2 linked regions of the Drosophila melanogaster genome follow. The protein of the gene in region 2 interacts with the protein of the main gene of each other region in a pairwise test. Each region holds a gene or a part of one and is shown on either strand. Other genes may lie near its edges.

What was found.
Region 1: the proteins of CG32409 (region 2) and 4E-T interact in a two-hybrid assay, tested with the Drosophila melanogaster proteins (one large-scale study listed by BioGRID).

The regions. Positions count from the first base shown.
Region 1 is NC_004353.4:951,432-961,826, reverse strand, and holds 4E-T (eIF4E-Transporter), read left to right. Parts: upstream 1-3,434; 5' UTR 3,435-3,795; coding exon 3,796-3,821; intron 3,822-3,937; coding exon 3,938-5,282; intron 5,283-6,776; coding exon 6,777-6,906; intron 6,907-6,963; coding exon 6,964-7,338; intron 7,339-7,600; coding exon 7,601-7,807; intron 7,808-7,927; coding exon 7,928-8,314; intron 8,315-9,365; coding exon 9,366-9,689; intron 9,690-9,749; coding exon 9,750-9,988; 3' UTR 9,989-10,285; downstream 10,286-10,395. UniProt on the Drosophila melanogaster protein: eIF4E1-binding protein that regulates translation and stability of mRNAs in processing bodies (P-bodies). Probably plays a role in P-bodies to coordinate the storage of translationally inactive mRNAs in the cytoplasm and prevent their degradation.
Region 2 is NT_037436.4:5,896,648-5,903,093, forward strand, and holds CG32409 (uncharacterized protein), read left to right. Parts: upstream 1-2,880; 5' UTR 2,881-2,951; coding exon 2,952-3,100; intron 3,101-3,157; coding exon 3,158-3,410; intron 3,411-3,467; coding exon 3,468-3,961; intron 3,962-4,025; coding exon 4,026-4,179; 3' UTR 4,180-4,270; downstream 4,271-6,446. Other genes in the region: PolE2 (DNA polymerase epsilon subunit 2), read right to left, coding at 27-732; CG5592 (uncharacterized protein), read left to right, coding at 1,001-1,643, 1,712-1,904, 1,962-2,748; QC (glutaminyl cyclase), read right to left, coding at 4,271-4,452, 4,506-4,713, 4,770-4,913, 5,149-5,454, 5,513-5,608, 5,688-5,774; CG32413 (uncharacterized protein), read right to left, coding at 6,240-6,445.

The DNA of each region.
Region 1 (10,395 bases), on a different chromosome or scaffold from region 2:
CACGAAATTTCATAATTTGCGGATAGATTTTGTTAAAGTTTAAAAATTGTTCAAAAGTGTGGTTTTCGGAGTTTTGTGGGTATAAAGTGGGCGTGGCAAGAAGTTGGTTGGCAAATCGATAGAAATTTTCAGAACTGGAAAAAAATACCAAAACATCAGGTATAAAATTACAATACATTCCGTAGAAATGCATGTTTAATAATTATTAAGCAACAAAATCAGCCGTATTTTTCGACAGATCAGATACTCGATACTCAGCATATCGATGGGAACGATAGGAAAGGTGTAGGAGTGGCAGTAGCCAGTTCGACTCGGCTAGTGATCCTGATCATATATGTATATATATACTTTATAGGGTAGGAAACGCTTTTTTCTTTCTGTTTCATACTTCCAAGGTCTTTAATAGGTGCTTTCACTAAGAGTTTCCAGTGTTGGAAGACGAATTCTACTATCTGACCCCCTCCCTCCACACCATGACTGATGGCCAGGTGGTATGATCAAAGACACTAGAATAACAAAATGCGTAACGGCCATACATTGGTTTGACAAAAGACACTAGAATAACAAGATGCGTAACGGCCATACATTGGTTTGGCACTATGCAGCCACTTTTTTGGTGACGGCCAAAATTGCTGTCTGTCCGCTCGCTTACAATGAGAGTGTAAGAAATCTAAAAATAGAATTTGCTTGCTTGTGTAAGTAAAAGCAAGAGACCAGAACGCGTATATGTGTGCGTGTTGTGATAGAAAACGATTTTCGGGCCGAAATCAATTCTGATTGAAGAAACGAATTTACATATTTGAGGAGTTTTGTCCGATTTCGTAGCAATATGACAAAATTGCGCGCTTTTTAAAAATATCAAATTGGAATATAACAAAAAAAAACTGAAATCGAACAACTGAATCTAATGTGCATGTTAAATAATAAAAATTGATCATTTACATACATCATATTAAGTCAAATGACTTAATAAATATACTAAATAATTAAGGAAAATACCAAGGAAGTATAACTACTGTAATTTAAAACATAAATTTCCCAAATAGAAGACATTATATTGAGAAATAAATATTCCATAAAAATAATACGTAGTAGAAAATACAAATTTATAACATAAACAAAAATATGAAAACTGTTTATTGGAAGTATATCTTGAGGCACGAAGTGCAGACGAAAGCACTCAACAATGTCTTATTAATTTTTCACAAGTCGCAAGCTGAATCATTCATTTCATTTCATTCAGTCATTTTTAAAATTTATTTTGTGACATTATGATTCGGCTTTTACTATTTCTAAGCTATATTTAAATAATAATAACGTTAAGGCAATGCAAAACAAGAATTTTTCGCACGGTGCCAATTGATCAAAAATAATATAGATTTAATGTCTATGAACTTCTAAGGTGAAGGGCATACATATGTACATATATTGTCAAATTTACAATGCATGGATACGTGTGCACACACACAGTTGTCTGCTATCACTGTATGCGTAGAAAAGAGCTGTGCGCTGTAGCGCTCTCCGCTCTCTCGCTCTCGAACAAAAATTCGAGGGGGCCTGGAGCCACGGCGAAAAAACCGTGTGCCAAAAAATCGTAAGACGTTACGCATCCTGTTATTCTAATGTCTTTGGTATGATAATCTTTAACAATTTATTTCAAATTATTACTCCCTTGGACATGGTATGTGACGACAAATTCTCACCATACGAAAAATATGAAAAACTTTGATTTTTAATAACTCGACATATGGCTTTATTTGTACCACATTTCTTCGTACTGTGCCATACCATCCCTATTTTGCCATCCTTACGATACCGCCGTCATTATCTTCATTAATGGGTGGGTAGAGACCGTTAGGTCAATGCAGGACGGCATATAGAAATTGGGTGACGCACTCTTAGACCATAACCAAAACTATCGTATATTCTCAAAAAAAGGGGACTATGACTATAAAAATAGCTATGTATTTAACTCTAAACCTCTATAGATTTTGATAGACCATGACATTGTGTGGAACATGATGTCATTTTCTAGACATTGTGCACGAAGATCATTCCCGAAGTCGACCGAACACTTATTCCGTGCATGTTTCATCAGACCGCCGGCAGCATATTTTAGCGTTAGGCGTGCACTTCCTTGTATAACTGTGTACACCTACAAAAAATTTCAAAATCAATCTATCGGGCACGCTCCGTTAATCGAAGTACTTTACGATTTCGATTTTAAAGATTGGTGCTCCGGTTTTCAAATTCGTAAGGATTTTCGATGTGTATAACGGGCACTTTTGTCTGGCCGAAATGAAAAGTATATGCCCATTTTTATATCACGTTAGATCTTAACCAAGGGAAAAAATAGTTCAGTAGTCTATTGATTTATATTCATTAGTTATTTTATATACAATTTATTTCTGACCCCATCAAAAATTTGATATACAAAATTTTGCTGTCGGCAACAAAAATTTTCGATTTGGCATTTTAAAACGCAAGATCGGTGCTCCGGTTTTCAAATTCGTAAGGATTTTTCGATTTGTAAAACGGACACTTTTGTCTGGCCGAAATGAAAAGTATATGCCCATTTTTATATCACGTAAGATATTATTTACCAAGGGAAAAAATAGTTTACTCAGTGGTCTATTGATTTATATTAATTATTTATATTCATTATTTATTTTATATACAATTTATTTCTGACCCCATTAAAAATTTGACATACAAAATTTTGCCGTCGGCAAAAAAAATTTTCGATTTGGCATGGGGTCATGCGTGCGTCGACTAAACTTACTTATAAAATATAAAAGAATTAATTATCTTAATTTAAAAGATGGCCTATAGTGTTCGTAAGTAATGCTATTTAATTTAATTAATTAAACGGTCAAAATGCAGTAAAAAATTAAATGCGAACATCGGAATTAAAATTGTGAAAAAGGTGTCCGCTGGAAAACAGCTTAAACAGCTGTTTACTGTACAGAAAACACTCCGACAGCAAAAAATTTTACGAAATCAAATCGAATTCGGAAACAAATTACGATTATTCGGTAATGCATGCCTGATTATAATTTCTTGATTTGTTTTATATTAAATTTAAAATTTAATAGTTTAATAATATAAAAATATTCTTATTTATATTATATATTATGAGTATTTCAAATGTAAATAATCATATAAACTATTTTATAAAACATCGACGTTACATAAATAAAATTTATTTTTTGTTTTTCAAGTGTAAATAATAATATTAATCATTTTAGAAAACATTCGGCACCTTTACTCGACGCTCATACGAACGGACAGATATGCTTAGTCTGGTATCGCTTTAGCACCAGTAGGAAAAACCTAGAATTTCTTTTCCCACAAATGTCACAACTTCAAAATTCCATTGTTTCACGGTGTTTCTCTTTTAATGTTTCAATATTAATATATATAATGCCTTAAGGTTCAATAAGAACAAAATATTTTCAATGTCTATATCCCACTCCAATTTAGCGTGATATTCACAAAGCTAATCGCAACATTGTGAGCATTAAAAATTGTTATATATGTATGTAAGCGTCTTGGGATTATATTCTCATGAAACTCAACAGTCATATATATGGCCTTAAAATACGTATATATATATATATATATTAATTTTTCAAAGTGTGTGTTTGCATAAGTGGTGTGTACTATTTGTATATTCATTGTACAATTTCTCCCGTTCATATAGGAGAGTGTTCTGTTTTTAATAATTTTGGATATCTTAACTTTTTCGACTTTCTGTAATAAGTTAGATTACACAGTGAACTATAGTCCTTAGCAATGGATACATCAAAGATTAGTGCCAGGTATGTGGATTAAATATTGGTAAATTTTAGTCAACTTTTTCGATATTATTCTCGCGTACTGTTTTTTTAAACTTGTATATGTACTAACATTGTTTTAACAATCTGTTTCACATTAGGTACTCGAAAGTAGACCTGTTAGCTCTAAGATATGAAGGTAAAAGTCGACAGCGCCCGCAATGTTCAACACGACTTGAATTGCAGACGCTAGGTTTTTGGAAAATTAATCTGAACACAGCTGCGTTAACCGTGTCCAGCGCCTATTCTAATCAAAACAAGAATCGACTTTCTCCAGAAGCAGATAACTCGAGCTTAATTTGTTCCAATAGTAGCTCAATAAGTTCACGTCGCGCTATGAGAAATCGAGAACGGGCAAACAACTATTACCAGCGCTTCGTACCTACCGATTCTCTTCTAATAAGTGGGGAGGATAAAGATAAGGATGCGCTTTCTCATGGACAGCCCTATAAGTTGAATATCATCGATCACCGTAGCATATCATCTTCACATTTAATGCCGGCATTTGCAAAGAGGCGTTTTGTCATATCGAAAGGCAGCAACAGCGAGGAAAGCAACGAGGGGATAAACACTTGTGCAAGCAAGGGCAAGGCAGCCAGTTCGCCTAGCCGTAAGGGTAGCGAGTTGGATACTGCTGAGACATGTTTGAATTTTGTTCAGCCGGATCACGACCAATGCATGTCATCTTCACCTACATTTTCAACATCCCGCCAAGAAAGGCGGATTGGTAGCGGTCGGCTGTTGCCAAGAAGTGATAATTGGGATTACAAAAACGAAAAGACCGTAGAAGCCAGCATTGAGAATGAAAAGGAAACATCTCCAAATGGATCTGGAAGTACAAGCAGTCTTAATCAGCACAATCAAAGCCAACATCGTTCTCGAACATTCAGTGGAAGGTTAGTTGAACGTGTTCCCGAAGTCACAGATCGTCGTTTTCAATATGACTCCAAAAAGTCTTTTGATCGTCAGGGAATTAATAATCGACGCATTTCTGGTAAGGAGCCTTTCAGTACTCAAAGCCGAAGCAAGCGTGGCAATTCCTATCTCATTCACGAAGAACCTGAATGGTTCAGTGCAGGACCTAAATCACAGCTAGAAACTATTGATCTACACGGGTTTGAAGACCTGGAAAAAAACGAAGAGCGATCCGTAACTGAAGATAAAAATAATCAAATTCAACAACTTGATAAAAATTTAGACGCGCAAGCAAGCAAAGATGAAGCTTCGATGAGAAACAGCAATGATAGTTTAAATTTCCGCGAAGTCATTCCAAGTGATGAAAAGAAGCACACTGACGAAAATGTAGTGACTTCTATTCAAAACTCAACAGATCTCGGCCATCCCAATAAAAACAAACCAATTCAGATGCAGCCCAGTCAGAATCCTGAAAGTGAATTTAATTTTGATGCCTTTCTTAATATGCATCCCTTGGATAATTCCGTTTTGGTAAATATATTGCAAAAACTAGATTTTAAGGAATGAGTACCTAATCCATTCAGACATTACATGGACAACTTCCGGGTTACCTTTTATTGACGGATCAATAATAGTATTCAAATAAGCTGTAAATAATGATATTAACTCCCGTTACTCAAGTAAAGGGTAAAGAGTTAAAGGGTATACTAGATTCGTTGAAAAGTATGTAAACTATATATTCTTGATCAGGATCAATAGCCGAGTCGAACTGGCCATGTCCGTCTGTCCGTATGAACGTCGAGATCTCAGGAACTAAAAAAACTAGTATGTTGCAATTTAGCATACAGATTATAGATACGAAGACGCAGCACAAGCAAAGACACTAGAATAACAAGATGCGTAACGGCCATACATTGGTTTTGCACTATGCAGCCAATTTTTTAGTGACGGCCAAAATTGCTCTCTTTCCGCTCGCTCCCGCTGAGAGCATAAGAAATCTAAAAATAGAATTTGCTTGCTTGTGTGAGTAAAAACAAGAGACGAGAACGCATATATGTGTGCGTGTTGTGCTAGAAGACGATTTTCGGACCGAAATCAATTCTGATCAAAGAAACGAATTTACATTGTACATATTAGGGTAGTTTTTGTCAATTTCGTAGCAATATGATAAAATAAAATAATTTTTAACTGACTATTATCATTTTAAAGCTTTTTAAATTTGTTTGTTAAAATCGCCGCTCGAATTAGCTACCGTTTACACATTTATATTTATGTTTAATTCTAATTTGTCTCTCATCTGACAATTTTTTAAAAGCGAAATATTTTTTTTTTTAAACACTTTTAATGTTAATGTTACATCATATTAAGTCAAATGACATAATAAATATAGTAAATAATTAAATATGATAACTGTTTATTGCAAAAGTCATATCAAAGACACTAGAATTATTCTAGTGTCTTTGCTTTGTTCATATCTTGAAGCACGAAGTACGGACACAAGCACTCAACAATCATTGCCTTATTAATTTTTCACACGCCGCAAGATGAATACTCTAATGACAAATATTCTTATATAAAGTCATTTTTGAAATTTATTTTTGTGATAATATGTACATAGATTTGGCTATTTCTAATCTATTTTCATATAATAATAACGTTAAGGCAATGCAAAACAAGAATTTTTCGCATGGTGCCAATTGATCAAAAATAATATAGATTTAAAGTCAAAGAACTTCTAAGGTGAAGGGCATATTTTGTGAAATTTACAATGCATGAGCATGCCTGTGTACACATACAGTTGTCTGCTATCACTTTATGCGTTAAAAACAAACAAACAAACCGCCCAGAACTGCCACGCCAACATTTTTGAAAAATGTTCTGATATTTTTTCATATTTTTATTAGTCTAGTAAATTTCTATGGATTTGCAAAAAAAAAAGTTTGCCCCGGCAACTCTAATACCCTAGAATTTATATTTTAAAGGTAAGCTTATTAATTTTAAGATATATTTATTGTACATTTGCAGAGTAATGATGAAACTGGAAAAAGTGACTCAAAAGGAACATCCCGTTTTAGCCGATGGTTTCGACAAAAAGAAGCTGCAAATAATAATGAGTTTCCAGGGTTTCGGGAATCGCATGCTCAAGAAAAACGTGGTATGTCAAGATTTGTAATAATATATCAAAGGCCTTATAGTTCACTTTGTTCTTAAGGTATTCCAAGTGTTAAGGATCTGGAAGCTCAAATGATAAAAGTGGATATGAGGACTGATTTAATAAATCCAATAGCAGGGTCATTATGTCAGACAGTGCAAATGGAAAAACCTATTGCTAGAGACACTGAGGCATTCAAAAAACTTTTGCAACAGTTGGGTTCTCAAGCCAGGCAGCATCATCCATGCAACGACGATTGTCGTACAATAAACCTCTCAAATATAGCAAATCATGTACACCTTGAGTCAAAATTACATCAAAAAATAAATGATGGTCATTTGCAGCAACCAGAGTTAAGTGTTAACGTGCCAACCATGCCAACTAGTAGTCATGTATTTTTGCAAAAGCGTTTGGAAATCCAACATTTAATTCAAAGTAAGATATGTTTCAAAATTCCATGTCTATAAACTTTTTCTTGAATACTTAAGTCCTTTTTCTTGTCCTTATGGTAAAATAATATAAGGTTTCTGGCTGATAAAACACATGAATGTTACAGTTTACCATATACATGTTTACCATCAGAACGGGAACTTATTTAAAGCGTATCTGGTAAAAACCACGTGTTCTTATTTTAATGCTTTTATACCCTGCGCTGTATTTAAATATTATGAAAAACAAAATGTTTAATAATAAATAGGACTTCATTGTGGAGACGTTTCACATGATTTTTTGGAAAAAGAATTGGATAATCCCAGCACCCCAGCAGCCACAAAGGATGTCATTGCCACAGTGTTGAATGAATATTCTCATTCTAAAAGAAATCCGGTGGTCACAGGCGATCCCAATATTTTTACCCAACAATCGTTTCTTCAGCCTCAATCAGTCCATCAGCACTACTCTCAAGGTAAGTAATTCTTGGTTATATGGTAACTCTTTAAAATTCAATTAATATAATATTTGATTCAGTTAAAGTATCTTATTTATTACTAAAATTATTTGTAAAAATTCCTTAATTTTTTTCTAGAATTGCATTCGCAAAATACTGCTAACCATACGATTAATCAGCTAATTTCCCACGGTAACTCTCCAACTCCGTTGGCATTTACTCCTACTTCAGTTTTAAGAAAAATGACAGCCGATAAGGATACGCAATCACCAAGCACTTATTGTCAGAACCCACAATATCATGTACACCAACAAAATGCCAAGCAAGTCGGTACTCGTGAGAACGTACTTGAGCCACAGCTGACCGCAACAATGGCTGTACAGCCCCGAATGATATTAGGCGGTGGAAACTTTGCCATTGGCCAAAACAATCAACATTTGTCTCCCAACATGTCACAAAGTCGTAATCAACAAGTGTTAAAGTGGACTTCTGGCAATATGCAAATGGTCCACGGAAAAACATTTGGTAAGTTACACAAAAAAGTGTTAGCTATTATTAAAGTACATTTATTAGTTAAAGCTTTGTTTTTTTTTTTTTGCTATAAGTTTTTTTTACTCGTTCTCATAAACTTAATGTAAATGTATATGAATTTCAAGAGAAATTATAAAAATCGTTGAGTTACCATAAAAAGCGTGCAAATACGCAAATACAAAATTCAGTTCTTAAAAGAGGATAGTATAGGATAGGAGAAAGTGGATGCTTTTTATACCCGTTACCCGTAGCGTAAAAGCAAAGACATTAGAATAACAAGATACGTAACGGCCATATATTGGTTTTGCCAAAGACATTAGAATGACGAGTAACGCCATACGTTTTTTAGGATTTTTGTTGACTTTTTCATCAATTTATTAGTCTCTTAATCAAGTAAATTTTCAAAAGTTTTGGTGGCTTTGTGGGCGTGGCAGTTTTGGCCTGTTTGTGGGCCTTAGAGTGTCCGCAGCATCATGACTCTCTCAAGCTTCTCAACTCTCTAGCTTCTATAGCTCCTGAGATCTCGATGGCCAGATCGACTCGGCTATTGATCCTGATCAAGAATATATATACTTTATATGGTCGGAAACGCTTCTTTCTGCCTGTTACATTCTTTAAAACGAATATAGTATATCTCTACGAGAACCGGGTGTAAATATACAACCTGTAGAATAGCTAAATTGGCTTTTTGAGACACGACGTGCGTGCACGTATATACTTACATAATATAGAGAGTATTTTTTAATAGACCAAAAAATAAATATTCATATACACAGTTTGCTTAATTTATATTCTGTGCAAGAAGTGTACCCTACAATTTTGATTATTCTTGACTTATTGGGGTAATGAAAATTACGATTATTTAGTGGAATTTTTTGAAGTGGACTTTGTTTTAATGTAGTTATCTGTGACCCAAAGCAATATTTTATTCTCTAGGAATAAATATCTTTGTTAAACAACGCGATATAATAAACTTGAGATCTTCGACTTCTGTATTAATGGGTTCAAAGACTTACACATTATTATTTTGACTTACATATTTTAGGCCGACCTATTCTGAAAGGAGGTCTTAATTCAATGCCGCATTCCAATTCTGCACTTCCTTTTACTGCCCATAAAATTGAAATGCAACCCATTCATCAACCACATCTACAGCAGCAGCAACATAGATTTAAAGCAGTTCAATCTGTGGAATCAAATCTGAATACCGAAAGTGTTCACCAAAACATTACATCTCCTGTTGGATGGCACCAACTTTACATGCAACATCAGCAACAACATCATCACACACGACAGCAGCTTAGTCAAAGAGTGATTTATGGAGAAATGCACCGTCAATCAAATCCACAAATGTCTCCGCCAGTCCCAGGTCGAATATTGCAAATAAAATTAGTTTTATAAATCATCTAATTAGTTGTCTTTATTTAAGGTTTTTCTGACAGCTCCGATTCCGGTAATGTGATCAAAGCAAACAGCCTCACATCTCCTAGCTACCAGAGAGATGAGAGGATTTCATCACCAACCAATCAATTGGCGCAATGGTTTTCCCCTGAGCTTCTTGCAAAAGCCTCTGCTGGAAAACTGCCACTTTTAAATGTGAACCAAGCACTCAGTTTGGAAGAATTTGAACGAAGCATTCAACATTCCTCAGGCGTCGTGCATAACTAACTCTTGAAGATAGTTTTAAGTTCAATACAGCAAATTTTAAAATGACACCGAAATCAAATATTTTTTTGTCTAAATTTAATTTCTTCTTTATGTTAAGGAGTATGTCTGTATGGGCACAAATCTATTAAATAATTCTGGAAACAAAATTTTTAGCATATAAAAGTAGTTTTCTATAAATAAATATACATTAACTTAAACTATTTAATGTATTTACAGAATGTAATTATTATATTGTACAAAACTATTTTACTGTAAATAACACGCAATTATATAAGTTTAAAAATGTTTACTTTTCTTAAATCTCAGTATGTTAAATAGGGTCTTGCGCTGGGAATTAACTTTATAGTTATACCTATTACGTTGCACGTTATGAAAAGGAGTGTGTAAAATTTGTTTAAAGCACATTT
Region 2 (6,446 bases):
GTTATTAAATACTTTGGGCTACTTACCCTTGAGCACACCGTTGTTATAGTTGCCCTCGGCTAAAACAAAGCAGCCCTCGCAGAAGAAGCCGGCATGGAAACGGGCTCCAGTGAGATCTAACTGGACGCAACCCGTGGGATCCTCGACATAGAACTTGCCCTCTTTAAGCTGGGTAAGTAGCCCCAAAACAACTGCCTCCTTCATCGCCGACGTGGCCAGCAGGTTCTCCGCGAACTGGAGCTTAAATTTCTTGGCCTGGGCCTCGGCCCCAACGCCATCCTGTATGACGGCTGGGGCAAAGAGATCGTGTCGCAGAGTTTTCTGTAGTAACATGGCATATCGTTGCTGCATGTAGTCCGATTTCATGCGCGGGGCGGTCAGCAACTGGCGCGGCTGAGTGTCCAGTTCGAATTTCTTTATCCGCTGGTTGTACCGAAAACGGGGCACCGTAAAGGCATCGATCAGGGCAAAGACCGTCTCCCCTTCATCCAATCCCACCCGGTTAAGTTCATTGATGGCCTTCTCCAGGGCGGCTCGCTCCACATGAGGCGTCAAAAGCTTTTGGCTTTGGAGATTCTCGGTGATCACCGTCAGCCATTTGTCCCGTTCCGCTGCGTCAAAGGGTAGCAGCTGCTCCGCCAGGTAGGAACTGTTCTCCGAGCGGATCAGGAATCCACATAGCTTGAAGGTGTTTGTTATTCGCTTTCTCAGCGGCAGTAAATCCACATCCATTGTTATTAAAAGTTTTTTCGCGCGCAAATTAGATATGGATGTTGTCAATTATCGATATCTATGTGCATTTGTGTGACCAGCCGAACATGAAGCTAAAATAGAAGGCCTAGAAAGTAATCGAAAATTGGCGGAAAAAAGTGGAGTTCAAAAAGTTGATATTTGAATGGTTTATTCAAAATAACATATATTTAACTATTTAAGGTTCAAAAAGAGGGCTTTAAAGAAGTTGGCTTTTGTTTAGTACATATTTATAATATTAAATGTCGAAATGCCCCCCAGAGATTGTGAAAAGTATGAGAACTTCTTGCTGTTCATTGGGGACTTTGGCCCCTTTCAGAAGCGACTGCTGTTTTGGATGATGCCCGCCGCCTTTCTGTTCGCATTCACCTACTTTGGTCAGATATTTATGATACTGTTGCCAAAGAATCACTGGTGCAGAGTACGAGAACTAGAGGGACTGCCGGAAAGTGAACAAAAGAATCGGGGAATCCCCAAAAAGCAAGATGGCAGTTTCGAGAATTGTTTTATGTACAATGTGCCCTACGACTCAAATGCGACCAACGATGCGAATCAGACAAGGAGCCCGATACCTTGCAACAATGGTTGGATCTATGATCGCAAGGAGGTGCCCTACGAGTCCATCGCTACCGAGTACAATTGGGTGTGCGACAAAAGGGATTTCGGGACATATAGCGTCGTTGTCTACTTTGTGGGCTGTATTGTTGGTTGCCTCTGCTTTGGATTCATAACCGATCATTCCGGTCGCTTGCCTGCACTATTTCTGGCCAACTCCTGTTCCATGATCGGCGGTTGCGTAAGTGTGGTCTGCAAGGACTTTCCCTGCTTTGCTGCCAGCCGATTTGTGGCTGGACTGTCAATGAACTACTGCTTCGTTCCCATTTATATTCTAAGTGAGTGTTGCAGAGTCAATTAACATAAATCATAAATTTAAATATCATCATCACATTCTTTTCAACAGCTTTGGAGAACGTTGGCATCAAGTATCGCACACTGGTGGGGAACTTAGCCCTCACATTCTTCTTCACCTTGGGCGCCTGCTTGCTTCCCTGGCTGGCCTATGTCATCAGTAATTGGAGGCACTATGCCATGGTCGTTGCCCTGCCAATTGTATTCATGATATTGACCAGCTTGCTGGCTCCAGAGTCACCAAGGTAAATTAATGATAACAATAGGTTTTCAAGCTATCTAAACTTCATTTCCCACTGCAGTTGGCTTATGTCGGTGGGTAAAGTGGACCGGTGTATTGAAGTCATGAAAGAAGCGGCCAAAGCCAATGGAAAAATCATTTCCGAAGAGGTTTGGTCCGAGATGCGGGAATGCTATGAACTTAAATTTGCCAACGAGCAATTGGGAAAGCAGTACACCAGTCTGGATCTCTTTAAGACATTTCCCAGGCTCGTCGTCTTAACGATTTTGATTGTCACATGGATGACTGTGGCCCTAGCATACGATGCCCATGTTCGCGTAGTCGAAATCCTGGACACAGATATATTTATAACCTTTTCCCTTTCCTCGCTCGTTGAAATTCCTGCTGGAATCGTACCAATGCTTTTGCTAGATCGAATTGGTCGCAAGCCCATGATGTCGGCTGTCATGCTATTGTGTGCAGCATCCAGTCTCTTCGTTGGTATTCTAAAAGGACATTGGAATGCATCAACGGCAGCGATTGCAGCCAGATTTTTCGCCACAATGGCCTACAATGTGGGTCAACAGTGGGCCTCTGAGATACTGCCAACCGTGCTGCGCGGTCAGGGACTGGCTATTATCAATATTATGGGTCAGATGGGTGCCCTACTCTCACCACTTGTACTCAGCACCCACCGCTACTATCGTCCCTTGCCCATGTTTATTATCACATTGGTGTCCGTGATAGGCGCTTTAATAATCTTGTTTCTGCCGGAGACCAAGGGAGCTACGATGCCACAAACGTTGGACGAGGCGGAAAAGCGCTGGACGTTACGTTGTAGAGATCGTAAAATAAACGAGGATCTTTAAAAAATTAATTTAAAAACTTATTTTGAAATGGCGCCGATAGACTGATAAGTATATAGCCAAGTTTCCCTGCAAGGTTTGAGTCTTCGGTGCGAGTTTGGTACATTTATTTAGTATTTTTTAGCCTATTCGTTAAATCTAGTGCATGGTCACAGTTGTCAGCACGTGGAATTGAATTTTGCTGTTTATACGCTAATTCCCTGAAAATGGATGTTGTTAAAGAAGTTCTGGCCAAACACCAAAAGGAATTGGACAAATACAAGCCGATCACAGTAGAAAAGCATTTGGAATGCCGACTCGACGTTGGCAGCCTGCTGATCACAGATCCCAACGATTTCGATGACCGGGAATTGAGGTAAGCGGCGGTTTCTAGCGAGGAATACTGATTTTTCACCAGTTCCATTGTTTTTAGGGACAACAAAGAGGAGTACCTGACCGCACTGACACGGGAGAACACCCAACTTTTGGTCAATGCCATTTGGGAGTTGCCCACCGAACGGGTAGACGAGAGCATTGTGGCCAAGCTGCCGGAACCCACGACGGTACTGCCCCGCCTCCGTAAGCCGCCAGGTCCACGTCCGCTCACCAAATGGGAGAAGTTCGCCAAGGAGAAGGGTATCAGCAAGAAGAAGAAGGACAAGAAGACCTACGATGAGACCATGGATGCAAGTTTTTGCTCTTTAATCTTGTCAAGTCACAATCTAAACCTTGAATCTTTATAGAAATGGGTGCCTACATATGGTTTTAAGCGTGCCGAGGCCGAGAAGGCCAAGGATTGGGTGCTGGAGGTGCCACAGAACGCCGATCCCAATACGGACATGTTCCAGAAGAAGATCGACCTGCGCAACGAGAAGGTGGCCAAGAATGAGATCCAGCGGATGAAGAACATTGTGCGCGCCAAGAAGATCGACATGCCACGCAGCGGTTACTTGGGACCCGAGGCTGCCTCATCCAGCCAGTTGTTAACGGCCGTCACTGTGGCCAAATCCTCCACAGCCTCAGTCGGCAAATTCCAAAACAAACTGCCCAAGGAGAAGGAGGCACGTGGTCTGGGCATTAAAGAGCTGATTCCCGGCGGCAAACGCAAGCAGTCGCATATCACACAAACGCCGGAGAAGGAGGCCAACCTGGATCTCATCAAGAGCGTGCTGAACAAGAAGCCCAAACTGGACGTGAGCAAGGCGGTATCGATGGAGAAGCGCGACAATCGCTTGGCGTAAGTTTAACCTTTATCGTTAAATGAGCATAGTCTAAAGCTTAAACCTTTATTTCCTCAACAGACGCGAAGCAGAGGCTGAGAATGAACCAGGCAAGAAGGGCGGCAAGAAGCCCAAGGGCAAGGGCAGTCGCAAGGCGGTGGGCAAGAAGTCCAAGGGCAATCGTGGTCAAAGGGCTCCGGGCAAGAAGGCGCAAGCCGGTCGCAAACGTCGCTAGGAAGAATTACACATGCCTTAGGACACTTTAATTAACGAAAAACACTTTACACTTATGCTTAATAAATCTTAGCCATAAGACAAAACATAAACTATGTTCGGTAAAAACGCAAATTCACTGGTGACGTGTGCCGCTTAAGGTATTGATAAACGAAATTACGGAAAACACGGTTGAAATTGCGTATGGAAGGCCAGTGCAGATTGGCGGCATTGTCCCGAGGCGTGTGCCAGACGTCTGGGAAAGGAGTGGCTACCAAATGCAGCACAGGAACATCTGTATGGAAAACGTCTGTGATTATGGATACACACTAAAGACATCAAACTTACTCTCATCTAAAAACGGTCGATGATCATCGTCGACTAGACCACCGCTGACACGACTTAAAAACATATTGTTATTGCCCTCCAGCTGGCCGGCAGTGCGCAGAGATTTCTCAATCTGCACGAGACTGGAGTGCAGTCCGTCGGTGTTTTCATAAAAACTGGAGAACTTGGGATTCCGCGCCCCAATTAGATCCAGCAGCACCAGAACTTCCTGTTATTGATACAATCTTAGCAAGCTGATAATTCTCGCAAAGGTCATTGACTTACAATTCGATCTATATTGCGTGGAGCTAGTTGCGCCTGGGAACCACTGCGTTTGCTAGCCAACTTCGCGGCCAGATGCTTTGATCCGTATACAGAGTCCGCATCGGTCCACTCCTTAAAGGCCTCCTCGCCATCGAAGAATATGAGCTGGTGGATAAGAAGGTTGGATTTTCAATAACTATAGGAAAAATTCTCTACTAGATCTTATTAACATAAATCAACTTTTTCAATGTAATACTAATGTCGTATGCCTAATTTCAAATGGAGATTTGAATACCAAACATGCAACTTGTTTTCGCTCAGGTTTGGTATAACTGGAGTTCATGGAAAATTTATTTAGCCACCAAGGTCTGTGTTAATGGGCACTAAGTAAGCAACTTACCATAAGTCCCACATCGCTGCGATTGCGAAACTCTTTCTGCAGATACGCGCCCAAGGTCTTGGCGGTGTTCAACAGAATGGCACAGGGCACGGCGGAGTCAGTGGCGCCCACAAAGCCGGGATCATTGGGGAAGTACTTGCTGTCGTAGTGGCAGGCCAGAGCGAGAAAGTTCTGAGCCTGGGGATTGATTGTGCCCACTACGTTGGCAAACGTGAGTTCGCCGAAAACTGGAACTCTCTGCTTGAACTCATCCACTTCCGTTTGGAAGCCAAGGCCGTTCAGCGATTGGACCAGGTACTCGCGCACCTGTTTGAAATGTTAATATTATAACGCCAAGTAATACACTTGAAGCTTTATCACCCACCTGCTGATGTCCCCGACTGCCAACGACGCGTGGCACCAAAATGGAGTCCAGGGTGCGGTTGAAATGGACCTCATCGTCGCGCCACTGGGATCCAATCTGGAATATAGATGGGTCTCTCTGGTTAACCTAACAATGCCTGGTTTCCCAAGTGAGTCACAATGCTTGGGGTACTTACGTTTCCCGCTGTCGCTTGCTGATGCGACGGCGGGAGGAGGAGGAGCAGCAAGCCTGCGGCGGCAAAAACTACGGAACCGATCGCCATCTATACGCTTCAGAGCTCGGCGACGCACTAAAGCCCGATCGGTGGCTGAAAAATCGATCTTTACCGTAGTTGATGTTGTGGTTTCCGATGCTGATGGCTTTTGTTTTCGTTTTCCGCTGCCTCTTTGGCGGCAAACTCACTTCGAAAGCTTTGAACCTTCGTTCAAGAGAGTTTTTAAGAGTGAATCATGTTGATGTTGCGGTAAATGCAAAAAGCTTTAAAGCCGCGTTCGTTGGGGAAAAGTGAGCCGACTAATTGGTGCTGATAACGATAATTACCTTAATTACATTAGTGTACGTTTAGTGACTATGCACTTAAAGTCTAGAATGAACACTAAGTTTAAAATGTCTCATACTAAACCAAAGTTTTCATTCGAAAGTTATTTTAGGTGTATAATATACATTTTGGGAATTAGTCACTTTTTAATGCTATATATGTTTTATAAAAAATGTAATCTAATTGAATTTAGTCATCATAAAAATCATAATTTATTGCAAAAGCTTGTCGCCATTTCATAAAGTATTGCCACTTTTCATAGAAATCATGCACAAAACAGCGAATAATTTTGATCATATTGCGAATGGTAGGATAGTGTAGATTCTCGACATTGTCCGCTGGCGTATAAAGAACATTTGGAAATTCATGTGGACTCACATGAATGACTGGCACATC